Linked DNA regions of Mus musculus: regions 2, 3 and 4 are each reported to be linked to region 1. Evidence: microRNA targets listed by miRTarBase, many of them from high-throughput screens and not tested one by one. Region 1 holds a microRNA gene; each other region holds the end of a gene's coding sequence.
The links. Region 1 holds the annotated microRNA mmu-miR-466i-5p (UGUGUGUGUGUGUGUGUGUG, at 2,856-2,875, shown strand). A microRNA usually pairs through its seed, bases 2 to 8, with sites in the 3' UTR of a target mRNA and lowers its output. Matches are read on the target gene's strand: a 7mer-m8 pairs with bases 2 to 8, a 7mer-A1 pairs with bases 2 to 7 and ends in A, and an 8mer does both.

Region 1 (4,151 bases):
CTACAAGCCAAAAAGAGAGGCCTCAAAGATTCCTCCTCATAGTCCTCGGGAGACAGCAGCCCTGCCAACACTTGTGCTGTTACTTTGAGCCTTCAAGATTATGAGTAAATACCTAATGTTTAAGCCGTGTGATCTGTGATGCTCTGTCACAGCATGCTAGTAACATGAAATCGCCACTCATTATTTAAAGGGGTCATAGGTGTTGCTGTGAATCAGTGTGATCTGATTCCCCTTTTCAAGTGTGACTCTGGTTGACCCAGACTACAGTCCATGTAACACCCCGCACCCCCCACCCCCCGGGACAGTGGTTTTAATTTCTCATCTTGAGCATCAGGTCTTCCCTGCAGCCATGGAAAGATGAAGGACAGAGGGACAGGAGACTAATGGTAGAGTAGGGATACAGAAGGTAGGTTGTTCTTCCTCCCATTCCCATGCTCCCAGAAATAAGACACAGACTCAAAATATGTTTACAATACCTTGGCCATACAGCTAGGCTCTTCTCTAACTAGGTCAGAACTTAAAATAACCCACCTATGCTCAACTACATTTTGCCACATAGCTGGTTACCTGTGCTCAGGTACCAGGTATCTGTCTTGTCACATCTTCCCCAGTGTATCTCCCACCTGGCACTATCCCAGAATCCTTTCTACCTCACAGATGTCCTACCTCCTATTTCCTGCCAAGTTATAGGTCATCAAATTTATTACTGACAGTTGCCACATGCATACAGACATAAGATATTTTCTCCCCATAGAGATTAATTAGAAGTCAGGATCAGGATTATATTACTCTCCTAGGGTTCCTCCTTCCTCAAGATTTAGTTTCTATATGTGCACAGTTTAAGCAGGCACAGTCAACTGACTATGAAAGCAGAGACAACAGGAGAGAAGACGAGTCCAGGGCTGGAGACTGGATACCACTGACTTCTGCTTCTACACGTGGAGCAGATATATACAGTATCCTTGAGGCAGAAGGAGACAGACACTCTCATCCAGGGATATAGCTGACAGAGAAGAGACATCCACCCCCATACACACATCTCATCCCATCGTCTCTAACATCTGCATACTTGCACTTCACAGCTCACAAGTCTAACCTTCCCAGGTAACTGGCCCATTTGGGTCTGGTGTACCTTCAATCTCTCTTTTTTTATTTTCTTAAAAGAAACATTTGAGAGCTGAGCATCTAAGATGGCTTTGGATTCACACCCACTGTCTGTGGAACAGCTTGAGGCTGACAAGATTAGCTCGCTGGAACGCTCTGGGATCCGTTCAGCCTAAGCTGCTGCCCACACACCAGCCTTGCTCACAGAAGCTGCTTTCCGCAAGCAGCAGCCCGCTTCACCTCCTCCATCCTGGCTCGTGGAACTGGTCCTTGATGTCCTACCTGGTCTTGAGGACAGTGGCTTCCAGCCTCAACCAGTCCTCATTCCCAGATTCCAGGATGTGACCATGGTGATGTCTCAGCCTCTCCAGAGGAGTCCGAAGGGTGATACTTCTGTCCTTCCTCCTCCCATGTCTAATCACCTGATTTTACAGAACCCAGCATAGCGAGCAGTGCTGCAAGCTTCCTTCCCCTCCCTCGGCTCTCTTCTTCTGTCCCTTCTTTCTGTAATATCCAAGGGGACCAGACAGAGTGGGCCTTGATAACACACATTCCCTTGGCTCCAGAGCAGTAGCTTCTAAAACCTGTAAATAAGACAGCTCTATGCCCCTGTGTAGACATACACCCCAAGGATAGGCTGGCTCCCTGGTACCTGTCCAGAGTTGAGAGTTCAAAAGACAGACCAGTGGATAGAAATGCTATCATGCCCACCCACCCCCACCCCGCCAAGCAAGGCCTGCTGGCTCATGTACCTGGCCAGACATTACATGAGCAACGGGCAGTAATTGTTGTCTAATCTCTTCCCAGAGGTTTCAACTAGTTCCAAACTGTTGTGGCTAATAAAAACAGAGAAGATTTGCAAGAAATTCCAGGTGCATCGGAACACTTTGGGGGATTGTGCAGCCTGCAGGCAGACGAAACTTAACTCAAATAAACATAAGGTAATATGTGTTGGCAAAAGTAACCTGAAGTGGGAGTATACAACTGTACGTTTCAAATTGGCTGCTGCCTGTAAGGATGGAGATTGGTAGTAGCTCAGAATGGATGAAGTGGGCAGAGTAGCCAATGTGCATCCCAGAATAACCGAGGCAAATCAGATCTCATCTCACACAGACCCCATCAGTGGCCCAAGATGGAGCACATGACAGATTCCGCAGTCCCACTTTCTACTTTAAGGATGAGGAGACATCGTGGAGTGGCCTCCAGATTTAGGGGTCTCCTGTGAGCCAGGAATGTGTGGTCATGTTCTCAATGGAGCGAGTAAAAGAAAGTGTCTGTTTTTGTTCATTGAAGTCATTGACTCCAAGCCCTGGAAGCTGCCATGTTACCTCCATCTGCTGCCTAACTCTCAGGGCCACATTTAGATAAAGAGCCGAACTTCTGAACTGCAACAGCCCTGGACTTCAGTCAATTCCCTACTTTCTTACAGAAAAGAAAATATTGAAAAGCTGTATTATGGTGTCTTATATGAATGTGCTAGTTTCCAGGATGGGAGGGGCTGTATATTCACCTATATTCACACACATATACATGTGTGCATGTGATATACATTCATGTACACCCTCCTATAGAAATAAGTGTATGTGTGTGTGTGCATGCATATGTGTATATGTGTATGTATGTGTGTGCATATACACATGGGTGTGCATGTGCATGAGTGCATGTACGTGTATATGCATGTTCTCTATTGATATGTGTGTGTGTGTGTGTGTGTGTGTGTGTGTGTGTGCAGGTGTGTATATACATATATATGTGTGTGTGTGTGTGTGTGTGTACATGTACATGTGAGTATGTGTGTGTATATGTTTGTACATGTGCATGTGTGTGAGTATGTGAATATATGTGTATATGTGTGCATGTGCATGTGTGTGTATGGTGAGTAGGTGTTACTAATTGTGACTCCGATGGCTGTGTCTCCATCTGGCCTAGGTGACAGGTAAGCAACTGCACTGATCTTTCACAGGTAGCAGCAGCCTTATAGGGCAGGAGAAGACTGGCACCTCTGCACTGGCCGTGACCTTACCTGCAAGCCCCCGAGGAACAGGAGCTTTTTTACTCCTCCATCTTCTGGCTTCCCAAGCAGGTGCTGATATCTTGACAGGGAAGGGGAAATGCTCTGTCCTGGCCCTCTTGCCTCACAGAACTAAAAGCTAAACATGGCTTCAACTACCTCAGCGGCTTTCTTCTCCCACAACCACATGCAGTAGAGAGGCCCAGCGCTGCAGAATACATCTGTGATAGGAGAGGAGAGCTTGGATCTGGAATGTTCTAGAAAGTGATGGAATAATTTGAAATCCAAACTGTCTAAAGGCTGAAGAAGAAAGGAAGCCATTGCCACCTGCAGGAAGCAGCCAGGTCCTTTTGACCTCTCAAAGTTCTTGGCTGTGAGGTTCCATCATTCAGCTGATAAAACAGAGGAACAAATGTTACACAGGGAAGTTCACAGGAAAAGGGTCAGTACAGAGTGTGCAGAGCTTCTGGTGGTATAAAAGCCAGTCACTGAAAACTAGGGACATGTCCTCAGTCCTTGAGACCTGAAGTCATCTCTTCTCTTCTAAGCATCCATTATACCCAGGATTCCACAGCCCTAGGCCTTCTGGAAACAAACTTCATTTCCCCAAAAATTGTCTGCTACCCTAATGCCACCGGAACAAGTTTTTTAGCTCTTGGGTTATAGCTCAATGATGAAACACTTGCCCAGCATATACAAGACCCCAGATTCCACCTCCAACAACAACACAAAGCACGCCAGTACATCTCAGCCTGTGCAGAGGCTCAAATTTCGAAGGAAATAGGAAATAGATTCATTCATTCATTTAGTGACTCTTTCTCTTCTGCTGTGTATGAGACGCTGTGTTAGGCAACACCAGAAATAAGGTAAAGATTTAGCAGGTGACCACAAACGAGAAAGTGCAGTGCGTTCTCCACTTTAATCAGAGCAAGCCAGCAAATAAAATGTTCTAGGCAGTTTGTCTTGGCACCAGCCACAGGAATTTACCTGTGACATCCTAATAAAGAGGACACTGAGACATGACATCCACAAGGAC
Region 2 (4,000 bases), not on the chromosome of region 1:
AGAAAATGCTGATGTTGGCCCAGGGTTATTTGACTTTCTGGCTAGGTCTACTCACTGCTCAATACTGTTCCTGGACTAAATCTCCATTTTTCATTTGTTTCTTTCTCAGGTAAAAGGACCTGGAATTGGGCTGCTTGGGATTTCCAAAGGGGGTGAACTTGGCCTTGCTATGGCCTCCTTCCTGAAGGGCATCACAGCTGCTGTGGTCATCAATGGCTCCGTGGCTGCTGTTGGGAACACCATCTCCTACAAGGATGAGACTATACCCCCTGTGTCCCTTCTGAGAAACCAAGTCAAAATGACCAAAGATGGTCTCTTGGATGTCGTGGAAGCTCTGCAAAGCCCTCTGGTAGACAAGAAGAGCTTCATTCCCGTGGAAAGGTCTGACACGACCTTCCTGTTCCTCGTAGGTCAGGACGACCACAACTGGAAGAGCGAGTTCTATGCTGATGAGATCTCCAAACGCCTGCAGGCGCACGGGAAGGAGAAGCCCCAGATCATCTGCTACCCAGCAGCAGGGCATTACATCGAGCCCCCTTACTTCCCGCTGTGCAGCGCTGGCATGCACCTCCTGGTGGGTGCCAACATCACCTTTGGAGGGGAGCCCAGGGCTCATGCCGTGGCCCAGGTGGACGCATGGCAGCAGCTCCAGACTTTCTTCCACAAACAGTTGGGTAGCAAGAGTTAGGGACTGTCCTCTAAAATATAACCTATTAGTTGATGGTTTGGGGGAAACCTCATATATATTATCACAATGTCAGTTCAGGTTAGTTCATTTGAACATATTCTAATTTTTTAAAGTTTCTTTCTTTTTTCTTTTTTCTTTTTCTTTTTTTCTTTTCTTTTTTTTTTTTTTTTTTTTTTTTGAGACAGGGTTTCTCTGTGTACCCTTGGCCGAGACCAGGCTGGGCCTGAATTCAGAGATCGGCCTGCCTCTGCCTCCCAAGTGCTGGGAGTAAAGCCACGCCCAGCTTATGTTTTTTCTCAATATAATAAGTGCCTATGAAGGACTGAGGATATATAGAGCTTGGTGGTAATGCATTCGTCTTTCTTCCATAGTGCCCAGAATTCATTCCCCAGTGCCGTAAGACGACAAAGAAATTAAAACTTTCTTATAAAAATGTGCCTGTGGACCTGGTGAGATGGCTCCGTGGTAAAGGTGCTTTCTGCCAAGCCTGACAACTTAAGATTTTTTTCCCCCAGGGTCTACATGGTAGAAGGAGAGAACAAACTCTGACAAGTTGTCCTCTGACACACACAAGTGCTTGTGCGCGTGTGCGTACGCGCGCACGCACACACACACACACACACACACACACACACACACACACACGCGCACACACACACCACATGTGTAATTTTAAAATGTGCCTATCCAAAAAAAAAAAAAAAAAAAAAACAGAATTCTTTTATGTCATGAATTAAGGGGGAACCTTAAGTGTAAATATTCTTATTAAAATAAAAACTAGCTCATTATAGACAAAACTATGTTGTCCTTCCTTCAATTCTTGGGCCAGTGTTCCCACTCTTGTCATCCTTCCAGAAGTGGCTTTTGGGTGACTGTTCAGATACTTAACACACGTCTAGCAGCAGCGAAGAAGAGAAGGGGTTTTGTTTGTTTGGGTTTTTTTTTTTTTTTTATGCACACATCCAACAAGAACATCAATTTTACAAAGCAAACCAATGTTGGGAAGAGAACCTCTTGGTGTTTTGAGCTCTGTCATGGTGACATGAGGGGAGGATGAACATTTAGTCCAGGAGGCAGCAGAGCAGCTGGGGAAGGAAACAGAAGCCAGGAATCCCATGTGTGCCAACCTTCAGACCTGTCTTCGAGGCAGGGAAGAGGATGTGTGTGAGCAAACGCTCTCATTCCCGCACATTTAGGCCACAGCCACCTGCCAGTCAGAGAGTGGTCAGCACAGGAGGAGGGATTTCTTTACCCATTGCTAGGCTCATGCTTGATCCCCTATAACACAAGACAGGCAGTAAAGAGACGGCTATAGAACCCGAGTCAGAGTTATTATTTTTCATCACATGTGTGTCCGTGTGTGTCTGTGCAGGTGCCCACAGAGGCCACATGATTTCAGTTCCCCTGGAGTTGGAGTTACAGGTGGTTATGAGCTACCTAATATGGGTGCTAGGAACCAAACTCTGGTCCTCTGTGAGAGCTCGTAAGTGCTGAACCTTCTCTGCAGCCTCTGAACCATGTTTAATTAAACCATGTTTAATAAAAGGGTTGCATGAGCTGATTCAGTGGGAAATGGGACTGGCTACCAAGCCTGACAAATGAGTTCAATCCCTGGACCCCACCTGGTGGAAGGAGAGGACTGATTCCAGCAACTCGTCCTCTGACCTTCACACGGGCACCATGGCACACGCCTGCCCCCCAGTATACAGATGAATCATTTTTAAAAATTCAAACTGTTGCCAGGCGTGGTGGTGCACACCTTTAATCCCAGCACTCGGGAGGCAGAGGCAGGTGGATTTCTGAGTTCGAGGCCAGCCTGGTCTACAAAGTGAGTTTCAGGACAGCCAGGGCTACACAGAGAAACCCTGTCTCGAAAAACCAAACCAAACCAAACCAAACCAAACCAAACCAAACCAAACCAAACCAAATCAAAAACAAAAACAAAAACAAAACAAAACAAAAACCAACAATAACAAAAATCAAACTGTTGCATGGCATGAGAGCCTTCAGAAACTAAGACCCAGGTCTGGGGGGTGGGCAGAGGTGGCTCAGTTAAGAGCACAGTAAGCATGAGCCAGAGATCAAGGCAGATTCCTCTAATAAGCCTGAAAGTCATCAGGCTTTCTGCTTCGGGGTCCTGCCCTGAGTGCCTGCTCAGTGCTGGACTGTGTCCTGGAAGTGTTAGCCTTTTGCGTCCCACTCGACGGGCAAGAAAGACGCAACAAACCGGAATCTTCCACAGCAAAAGCTTTATTGCTTGCTTCTTCAGGAAGACCCCAAACCGGGAAAATGGCGCCGTTTTTATAGCCTGCAGCGTGACATTTCAGCACCTGATATGGCGTGACAGCTCCTGATTCGTTGCTCGCCCATCACCCCACTATTACACCTCGAGAATAGGAGTGACTAGGAGTGAGTTCACTCTCGCACCTGCGTACAAGGCTTGTTTACTAGTTAGGCACAGCGGAGGCCAGCGCCATCTTATAATGGTGATTGCTCTCGGCACGGCTCTCCACAGCGATTACTGGCGGCACGCACCTCGTGGCACGGCTCTCCACATTAGCCAAATAAACCCTTTCCTCCCTAAGTGCTTTTTGGTCATAGCATCTGTCACAGTGACAAAACTCAAACATTAGGTGGCAGAAGCTGGGAAGGTTAGCAGGGGAGGACAGTAGGACTGGCTGGTTATGGGTACAGTGGAAGTCTAGATTCTTGGGTTCTGTAGCACAGTATCTATCGCACAGATCGATTTTTGTTGTTGTTGCTGGAGATAATATTTTTGTTATTTTATGTGTTTTGCCTGCACATATGTCTGTGCACCACCTGCATGTCTGGTACCTGTGAAGGGCAGAAAGGGCATTGGATTCCCCTGGAACTTGACTTACAGATGATTATAAACTGCAATGTGGTTGCTGGGAATTGAACTCTGATCCTCTGGGAGAGCAGCCACTGTATTTAATCACTGAGTCATCTCTATAGACCTGGTGCTGGAGATCAAACCCAGTACGAGCAAAGCATAGAATCTACCATTATACCCTTATGGTGGTTTGAATAAGAGTGGCCCCATAGGCTCATAAATTTGAATGCTTAGTCATCAGAGTGGCACTACTTGAGAAGGATTAGGAGGTGTGGCCTTCTTGAAGTAGGTGGTCTTATTAAAGGAATAATGTCACTGGGGGTGAGCTTTGAAGTTCCAAAAGCCCAAGCCAGGCCCAGTGTCTCCTCTCTTCTTCTGCTGCTTACAGATCCAAGTGTAGAACTCTCAGCTATTTCTCCAGCACCCTGCCTGTGTGAGGTCGTGCCTCCTGCCATGAT
Region 3 (4,000 bases), not on the chromosome of region 1:
GGCACCTAGGGCTTCAGGTGCATGGCTGCAGGGTGACAGGGTCTTGGCTCCTGTTTCTCTTCCTTGGTGGCTTATAGATAAATCCCCACCATTTGCATCCCCCAAGGACTCATCTGTAGAAAGAAAGGCCAAGTGGTCACACATGAAGCTCTCAGGCCCTCAGGTCTCCCTCAACACTGTACACCCCTGGAGTCTGCACTCTGTAACCTGGCCTTCCCAAAATATGCAGAGGGAAGCCGGGCGTGGTGGCAAATGCCTTTAATCCCAGCACTCGGGCAGCAGACGCAGTCAGATCTCTGTGAGTTTGAGGCCAGCCTGGTCTACAAAGCAAGTTCCAAGACAGCCAGGGAGGTTATACAGAGAAACCTATCTGGAAAACAAAACAAACAAACAAACAAACAAATGCAGAGGGTGCCAACCATCAGAACAAGACCAGAGCCCACAGCCGTACTGAGTGAGCGTGATACTAGGTACAGGAAGTACTGAGTGTGATACTAGGTACAGGAAGTACTGAGTGATCGTGATACTAGGTACAGGAAGTACTGAGTATGATACTAGGTACAGGAAGTACTGAGTGAGTGTGATACTAGGTACTTTCCCTGAATACAGGGAAGCTTCTGAACCTGTCCAGGCCAAGGCATATCTGAGCTTCTATCCTTTCAGTAGAATAAGCAAGAGCAGCTCGGTCCACAGGTCAGAATTTATTTCATAGTAACTCATTTGTAGTATGTTTCAAGTACAAGATCCTGTCCAACATCTTTGACACGGGAAAAGAGAAGAGCACAGGTCGATAAGGCACCTGCAGAGGAGCCAGCGAGCGAGGCTCCCCTTTTGGCTTGAGACTTCTGGGTAGCTGCTCACACGTCTGCCGAGCAGAAAACGGAGTTCTCGGAAGTTTGCTTGCACGCATGCTTGAGGTGACGATTTTGGAGCCTGCTACCGTGTGTTCTGCAGGTACTTCGTTCAGCCCACACTGAGTCAGGCTGAAGAGCCACCTCTCTACATAGCTCACAGGATCCTCCCCAGACACCAAGCTGAACATTCCAGCCACTTCTCAGCTTTGATGAGAACCCTGACTTGACGTCCCACCCAGGCACATGCGTTTAGAATTCTCAGCCCAAACCTCTATTTTCGAAAAGTAAAAAATGCAGGAAAACCTCCAGTACAGTCAGACATTATGACTTCATAGGATGCAGGGACATTGAAAACTTGCAGGGCAGCGTCAACCCACTAGATTTGTGACATAAATAGTCCAGTGGTACGCATCCCAGAAAAGTGTCCAGAACTTGATCACACAGCGTCCTTTATGTCACTTCCGGGTGGCTCAGAGACAGGGTGTGAGGTCCAACAACCCTGGCACCAGACTTCAAGTTTGTGTTCTCAATGCTCATTTCCTTGGTCTCAACTACATTGGCTTTATTATAACATTTAAAATTAAATAATTCACTCTTTCCCACCCACCCTCTGTACACAGGGCAGGCAAAGCCCCACTTGTACGCTGGCTTTCCAGACAGCCATGCACAATAGGATAAGCTGAGTCACTAGGTCAGTTACAGCATCTCCATAAGCAAAACAATGTTACCACTCAGGCCACAAGGAAACACCTCAGGAGACTATGGCTAATATCATTCACAAACAGTTCATATACTCTAGTGGTTCAGCAATTAGCCTTTTAATAATGATGTAAGAAAGTCTTCAGTCCCATTTACCAGCAGGAAGAAGCCTTTGACCTGAAATATGGCCTGTTCTTTTACTTGTTTTTTTTTTTCCTACAGAAAAACGTAAGATTGATTTTTTTTTTTAAATAGCAAGAAAAAATTTACAGACATAAAATTTTGTTACCAGGTGGCCAAAAAGAGGTTCCTTGCCCACAGCAAACTGATAGCTATGATTCACTGTCTGGTTCCTATGGCGTCTTGGAAATACCTACAACCCTGTGAAAGAGCTTGCCTGACACAGGGCTGTCTCAGAACAGTCGGTCATAAGACCCTCACCTTAAAGAACAAGTGCCACAAACATGACCTGCAGCGAGAAGCCACTGGTGGGTAAGGCCTTGCACATACCTGTCCCCTAAGACAGTGCCTCCCTAGTCAATGGACCCTGAAGGCACTGGGGTTCAAAGTATGTTCATCCCACATTTTATGACCTGAAAAAAATGTATAAATTAAGATCCTACAAAATGATGTCTGTTCAAAGAAATGTCAAGAAGAGGAAGGTGTGGTGCCCTGACACTTGCAGCCATGCTTGGGGAGGGGTGGGGGTGGGAGGGTGGTCTAAGGGTTCCATCAGCAAACCAGCCAGTGTGTGTGTGTGTGTGTGTGTGTGTGTGTGTGTGTGTGTGTACAGGCAGGCATTTTGGTGGACTTAAGGAAAAAGTGTGTGTGTGTCCCATAGCCATCAACTATGGCCTCTCAAGGTGGCCCAATTCCTTGCAAACGGGACGATATGAGCCCAGCACACTTAAAGCTCCCAGACAAGCACCTCCTCCTGCTTTTAACAGCAGGACACAGATGCCCTGCAGAAGCCAGTCCTGCAAGCTAAGAGCCCTCTCTGGTCTCACCATGAGTCGCTCCCTGAAGAAAATGTCACATGTGCACCCAGCACTCGCCTTCTACGAGGCATCTCCACCATTTTCATAGCAATATAACTGGTCACGTGATTTAAAAAAACAAAACAAAACCGTAACAAGCAAGTGCACTGTTCGCCAACACTATGCCAGTAGGCTGTGGGATGTTTGGTTGTTTTAAAATCCTAAGAGAATCTGAGTAAACAGAAGGGATGGGCTCGAGGTTTCGTAAGCAGAAGGCCCTTGCTGGTTTCAGATCTTTGCCCTTACAAAACCGGGGGTGGCTCGTGTGGTTTCAAAGCTCACGCTTGCTCACTCTCACCAAGCCTGGTGCACACGTGCCCTGCACTGAGCCCTCAGTAGCCCTTAATCAGGAGAAGGTCCCATTCATTCTCCTTTGTCCTGTACAACACAGCAGAACTTCATGCTGACACCCCGCTTTGAAGAGCCCTTTTCATATGGAATATAAATTAATCCGGAGGTCTACAGCTCAAAGCTTCCAGACTTAACAGAAAAAAAATGTAACTTTCAATTTTTAAAAAAACGTATTTTGCATATGAATCTCAGCCCTAAGCTCCCGCACACAGGAAGTTAAGGGCAGAAGAGGGTGCTTTGGGGCTCATCCTATGACAGCCTCGTCCATAAAGAGCTGTTGCAGCTTAAACACCTGCTATTTGCGAGAGTCAGGCCAGGCAGCAATACTTCCTCCACCAAGACTTGGACAGGTCCCGCACCTTATCCGGGGTCCTGCTTTTAGACTTCTTTGGCTGTAGCTGGGAGTCTGAGTGCTGGATACCAGCAACAATGGCGGCGTCGAAAACCTCTTTGAGGTTTTTCTGAGTCAACGCTGAGCACTCGATGTAGGAGACAGCTTTGACTTCCTCCGCGCACAGCTTCGCCGCCTCTTCAGGCACCGGCTTCTCTTTGCACTTGTCCAGTTCTATGAGCACTTTGACGTCCTCCCTGAGGTCCGACTGTGTCCCGACCAGGATGATGGGGGCCTTTGGGCAGTGACGTCGAATCTCTGGAACCCACTTCTCGCCCACGTTCTGGAAGGATGTGGGGCTCACCACGCTGAAGCACAGCAGGAAGATGTCTGTGTTGGTGTAGCAGAGGGGCCTCAGCTTGTCAAACTCATCCTGAAACCAAGCAAGATGCCATTACCCTTGTTAGCTCTTTCCACCTTAGGAAGCGACCTTTAGGGCCGGGATAGTCACAGAAAACCTATGTTTTTATAAAGAGGAGCCAGTGTCTCAGACCTGCCCTTGTGACACAGGTGCAGCCTCTATAAGCTCTGAGGGACCGCACAGGACCACACAGCCTTAACACTCCAAATGTGCTCTTGGTGACTATGGCTACCATGCCAGACGCTATGGAAGGCACTCAAGGCAGATGAGACCTTGCTTTTTCTGGCCTTCAGCCCATAGTGACTCT
Region 4 (4,000 bases), not on the chromosome of region 1:
AGTGGGCATCATCACACTGGCCCAATTAACTACTTTAAAAATAGAAAATCAATGAAATATTTTAAAAATAAAAAGAGAAAGCTAATGGTAAGTAGCATGTCATGTGAATGCTAAAAAATCGAGTTTAGTGCTTGGTGAGTTATTTTTAAATGCTTCTGTTCTAGACATCATATTAAATCACTACAACAATATTAAACTTTTCCTTTGGTTGAGGGTGAACTGGCAGAAATGAGCCCTTTTATGTCTTACAAGTGAGATCTGGACATAAATGGAGCAGTCAAAAGAACAGTCTTAGAAATTATGACCAAAGAATCAGGCACTGCCAAGAGACCAGAATTCAAAAGAATACTGTAGTGCTCAAGAATCGTGTGGCCTAGCAGCTATGAAAATATGAAAGAAGGAAGGAGTTCTAATGAATTTATAACAAAACCAGCTATTATTTATCATTCTTTCTAAAGCTATGGTAAAAAAAATAGACAGAAAAATATGTGTAAGTAGAACATAAGACTAATTTAAAAGAATTATGAACTTAAATTATGATTTCATATTTTCTGCACAAGAACAAGTGATTGTTTTCTTCATTTCCGTAAGTCAGCCAAAGCAGAATCCAGGGGTGACCTGGACGATTTAGCCACCACACATTCAGAATTGAAAGCATTATCACAGTGTCGGCTTCTGATCTCTTAGGTGTCGGGAATGTTTGTCTTGCACGGTTGCTATGGAAACAGTTGTCATCAATGTGTGTTTTCAATAACAGTGGACACTGAGTCATCCTTTGTTAACTTGAAGGCCACTGGAGAATGTCATTCATGAGAACGCCCAGAGATAACAGCAAATACACGTTCTTGGATCCCCAGAACCAACCCTTGCACAGCGCTGGGTCAGAAGAGGGCTTTCATCAAATATTTGCTGTTGTAATCTCTTGAATCTACCAGGGCTCCTGCTCTCATTGGGTTGACAACCTGGTTGGTTTTCTTTTGAAGATTCAGAGCAGCATCAATGTCACAAACAACATGGTGCTGAGTCAGAAGTACTCTGCCCTTTCAAAAGTGAAATGTATGAAGCCCAGGCTAGGAAAGGTCTCCCCAGGTGACCACCACCTGTGTGGTCTACAGAGTGAGTTCAAGGCCAGCTGCGGCAAGTTAGGAAGCCTGTCTCAGAATAAAAAAGTAACATGAGTGCTGGGCCTATCAGTGGTAGAGCCTCTGGGTTCAACTCTCAGTGTCACAGGAAAAAAGAGAAGCGCATCCTGTCCCGACATGCGGTAAGGGAGGCAGTATAGACGAACATCATGTGCTATGCAAAGCACTCTAAGCAAGGATTTGTGAGGCAGAGAAATCCTTTATTGCCACGGGAAGCAAGTTCACTCATCTCTTCAACAGTTTTAGGAATCACAAAAATGCAGAATTCACACAATAAAGAATAACACAGACTTAGGGAGAAATGGTCCCTTGGGTTATATTGGCTGTAATACTGAGGTAACCAATTGACCTTGTTCAGTGGAAGTATCTTAAATGAAATGAAGAACACCCCACTAGTTATAACATCTAATTTATATATACCATTCAAATAAAAATATATATTATTTGCTTTAATGTATAGCAAGTTTAATACATTAGTGTTCACAAGATAAAAATTGTATTCTACTGAAAATTTGTGTGTGTGTGTGTGTGTGTGTGTGTGTGTGTGTGTGTGTGTGTGTGTGCTTCTTCTCTATCTCTAAGCTTGGAAGTCAGAAAAGTATGCTACTTAAGGAGACTTTCTTCTGGATTTAAAAATGCAGGTTCTAGGTCCAGGAGAGACAGATATATATCAGCTGGAAGACTACTGCATCTTTTATAACTTGCAATGTTAAAATCTACGAACTTGAACTGTAAGACATAGTTTTTTTGTTTTTCGTTTTTGTTTTTTTTTTTTTTTAAAAGAAAAAGGACCACAAAATTTCTCAAAATAGATTAAGGAACACAGGAAACGGTTCATGAAAGTATAGGGATAATATCCAGTGCTGTGGCTAATATTAAAAACTGAACATTCTATTTAAATGGTATCACACTAGCTCTACACACAGTGGACAGTGAGACCACAATAATCAACCTCACGGTAGAAACAGAGGCACATGGTCCCTAAGATAGTTTTTAGTGGGCAAGGTGCTATGGTCCAATAGAATCATCTAGGAAGGGAAAAGCCTTGTAGTTGTAGTAAAGCTGTTTACTGGTGTTTCTACTGTAGAACTCTTCTACAGATCAAATTGAAAAGTGACTATCTATGTGACTGCTTAGAGCCTGTGGTGGTGCACACATCTCACCTAACATCTGGCCAACAGATTTCAGTATAACAGATTAGGAACTCATATCTATAACAGCATGATCTAAAGCAGAACTGAAAACAAGACACACATTCCATGTCCATTCACCCACATCATCCATCATCTTTATCACATTTAGGGCTATCTTACTATGCCTTAATTTGTTTAACATATTCTGAAATATCAATGTTTTTAAGTCAAGGCTTTTACACAATAACCCATTTATTTCATGTCCTCTGTCCAACCTTTGTTACATCTTAAGCAGCTGCCATAAATATAGCCTACCTCATTTTGGGAATGTTACTCCAATTTTTAATTTGTGCATTGATTAAACCAATGAAGGTGACATTATTTAGCGACAGCTACATATTTCCTATTAATCAAAATCAATGTTATCAAGTATTAAACACACAGTCTTCTCCTTGGTGTAAATTGTGTATTTATCTTCCATCTTTCTCCAGTCACCTTGCCAATAACTACATTGCCCAGACTTTCTTTCTATGATTGCAAAAGTTCTAATTGCTGACGAGTAACATTTATGGCAAATACACTTAAAGTAGACAACAAAATTTCAAGTAAAATGAATGGTATCCACATCTATTAGACCACAAGGTATCAACACCTAGACTTGTTTCTATAAATTACAAAGACATGTTGTACATTCTTAAATAGTGAATGCCTACAATATTGAGCCTTTCCACACAAGCAGCTTACACAGGAAGGTAAGTGGTCAGTGTCTGTTACATTGCAATGCTCTCTTGATTCCCTCTTCTGTGGTTGTTGTTTTGTCCTGATGTCCACAGACTACTGTGTGGGTTCTTATGCTTTGGCTATGGTCTGTGAGCTGAATGAGGCAACACTGGTTATTAAGGCTTAATCTATGATGGAGCATTATCCTTGAATCTGGTGCCATTTCCAGAGAACAGTAGGAGCATCTCAGCTATCTTGAGTCTTCAGGCTCTGTTTTAATAACTTTCTTTTCCAAGGTGAATGCAGAGTGAGGATAGTCTTTTAGAATCCCAAGGCTCTCTACATAAAACAAAACCAGAAAGAGTTTGGAATTTGAAATCAGTGGACTACAACATCAAGTTATTAAACCCCAAACTTCCTAGCAAACATTAACTATTCATAATTATGAAATTCCAGATGGAATTTTATTTAGTTGTTAAAAGCATGGGTTATCGCAACATGGTAGTGATGTATTTCCAGGACTCAGGGACGTTGAGGCAGGAGGTCTACTTCAAGTTCCAGGTCAACTTGGGCTATGGGCAGAGTACCCAGCCAGCCAGGGTCACACAGCAAGAACCCATTTCATGAAAAACAAACAAAAATAAAGACAGACAGACAAACAAAAACAAAAACAAACTCACAGTTTTATTTAGACCCCCAACTGCACCAACTGCTAGGTATAAACTAATTGGGGTAAGTTACATAGCTGAGCTTTGTGTCTTACCTATAAAATGAGGAGAGTATAGACATAGAATATAGTGAGTGGCAAGGGCAAGACATACATGAACCCATAGACCTTTCTAAATTTATTTTATTTTATGTGTACTGGAGTTTTGCCTGCATGAAAGTATTGGAACCCTGGAGGTAGAATAGCAGACAGTGGTGAGCTGCCATGTGGATCCTGGGAATTGAACCCAGGTACTCAGGAAGAGGAGTCAGCGCTCTTAATTACTGAGTCATCTCTCC

Region 2: miRTarBase lists Acot2 as a target of mmu-miR-466i-5p. Seed matches in the 3' UTR shown: 7mer-A1 at 1,252-1,258, 8mer at 1,253-1,260, 8mer at 1,293-1,300, 8mer at 1,295-1,302, 8mer at 1,297-1,304, 8mer at 1,299-1,306 and 17 more.
Region 3: the mRNA of Rhou is a reported target of mmu-miR-466i-5p. Seed matches in the 3' UTR shown: 7mer-A1 at 2,381-2,387, 8mer at 2,379-2,386, 8mer at 2,377-2,384, 7mer-m8 at 2,376-2,382, 7mer-A1 at 2,336-2,342, 8mer at 2,334-2,341 and 17 more.
Region 4: the mRNA of Nab1 is a reported target of mmu-miR-466i-5p. Seed matches in the 3' UTR shown: 8mer at 1,698-1,705, 8mer at 1,696-1,703, 8mer at 1,694-1,701, 8mer at 1,692-1,699, 8mer at 1,690-1,697, 8mer at 1,688-1,695 and 17 more.

Annotation. Positions count from the first base shown.
Region 1 is chr3:85,464,527-85,468,677 of GRCm38, forward strand. Mir466k (microRNA 466k) reads left to right here and starts at 2,851; the gene lies at 2,851-2,972. All of the region lies in intron 1 of Gm31419 (a long non-coding RNA gene), which reads right to left.
Region 2 is chr12:83,992,393-83,996,392 of GRCm38, forward strand. Acot2 (acyl-CoA thioesterase 2) reads left to right here. Exons shown (of 3, transcript NM_134188.3): 3 at 110-1,485. The coding sequence ends at 688. Among named protein-coding and RNA genes, the nearest start is that of Acot2, 6.5 kb to the left of the region's middle.
Region 3 is chr8:123,660,566-123,664,565 of GRCm38, reverse strand. It overlaps Rhou (ras homolog family member U), which reads right to left. Exons shown (of 3, transcript NM_133955.4): 3 at 686-3,705. The coding sequence ends at 3,250. Among named protein-coding and RNA genes, the nearest start is that of Rhou, 8.6 kb to the right of the region's middle.
Region 4 is chr1:52,455,973-52,459,972 of GRCm38, forward strand. Nab1 (Ngfi-A binding protein 1) reads right to left here. Exons shown (of 8, transcript NM_008667.3): 8 at 1-3,334. The coding sequence ends at 3,246. Among named protein-coding and RNA genes, the nearest start is that of Gm23460, 13 kb to the left of the region's middle.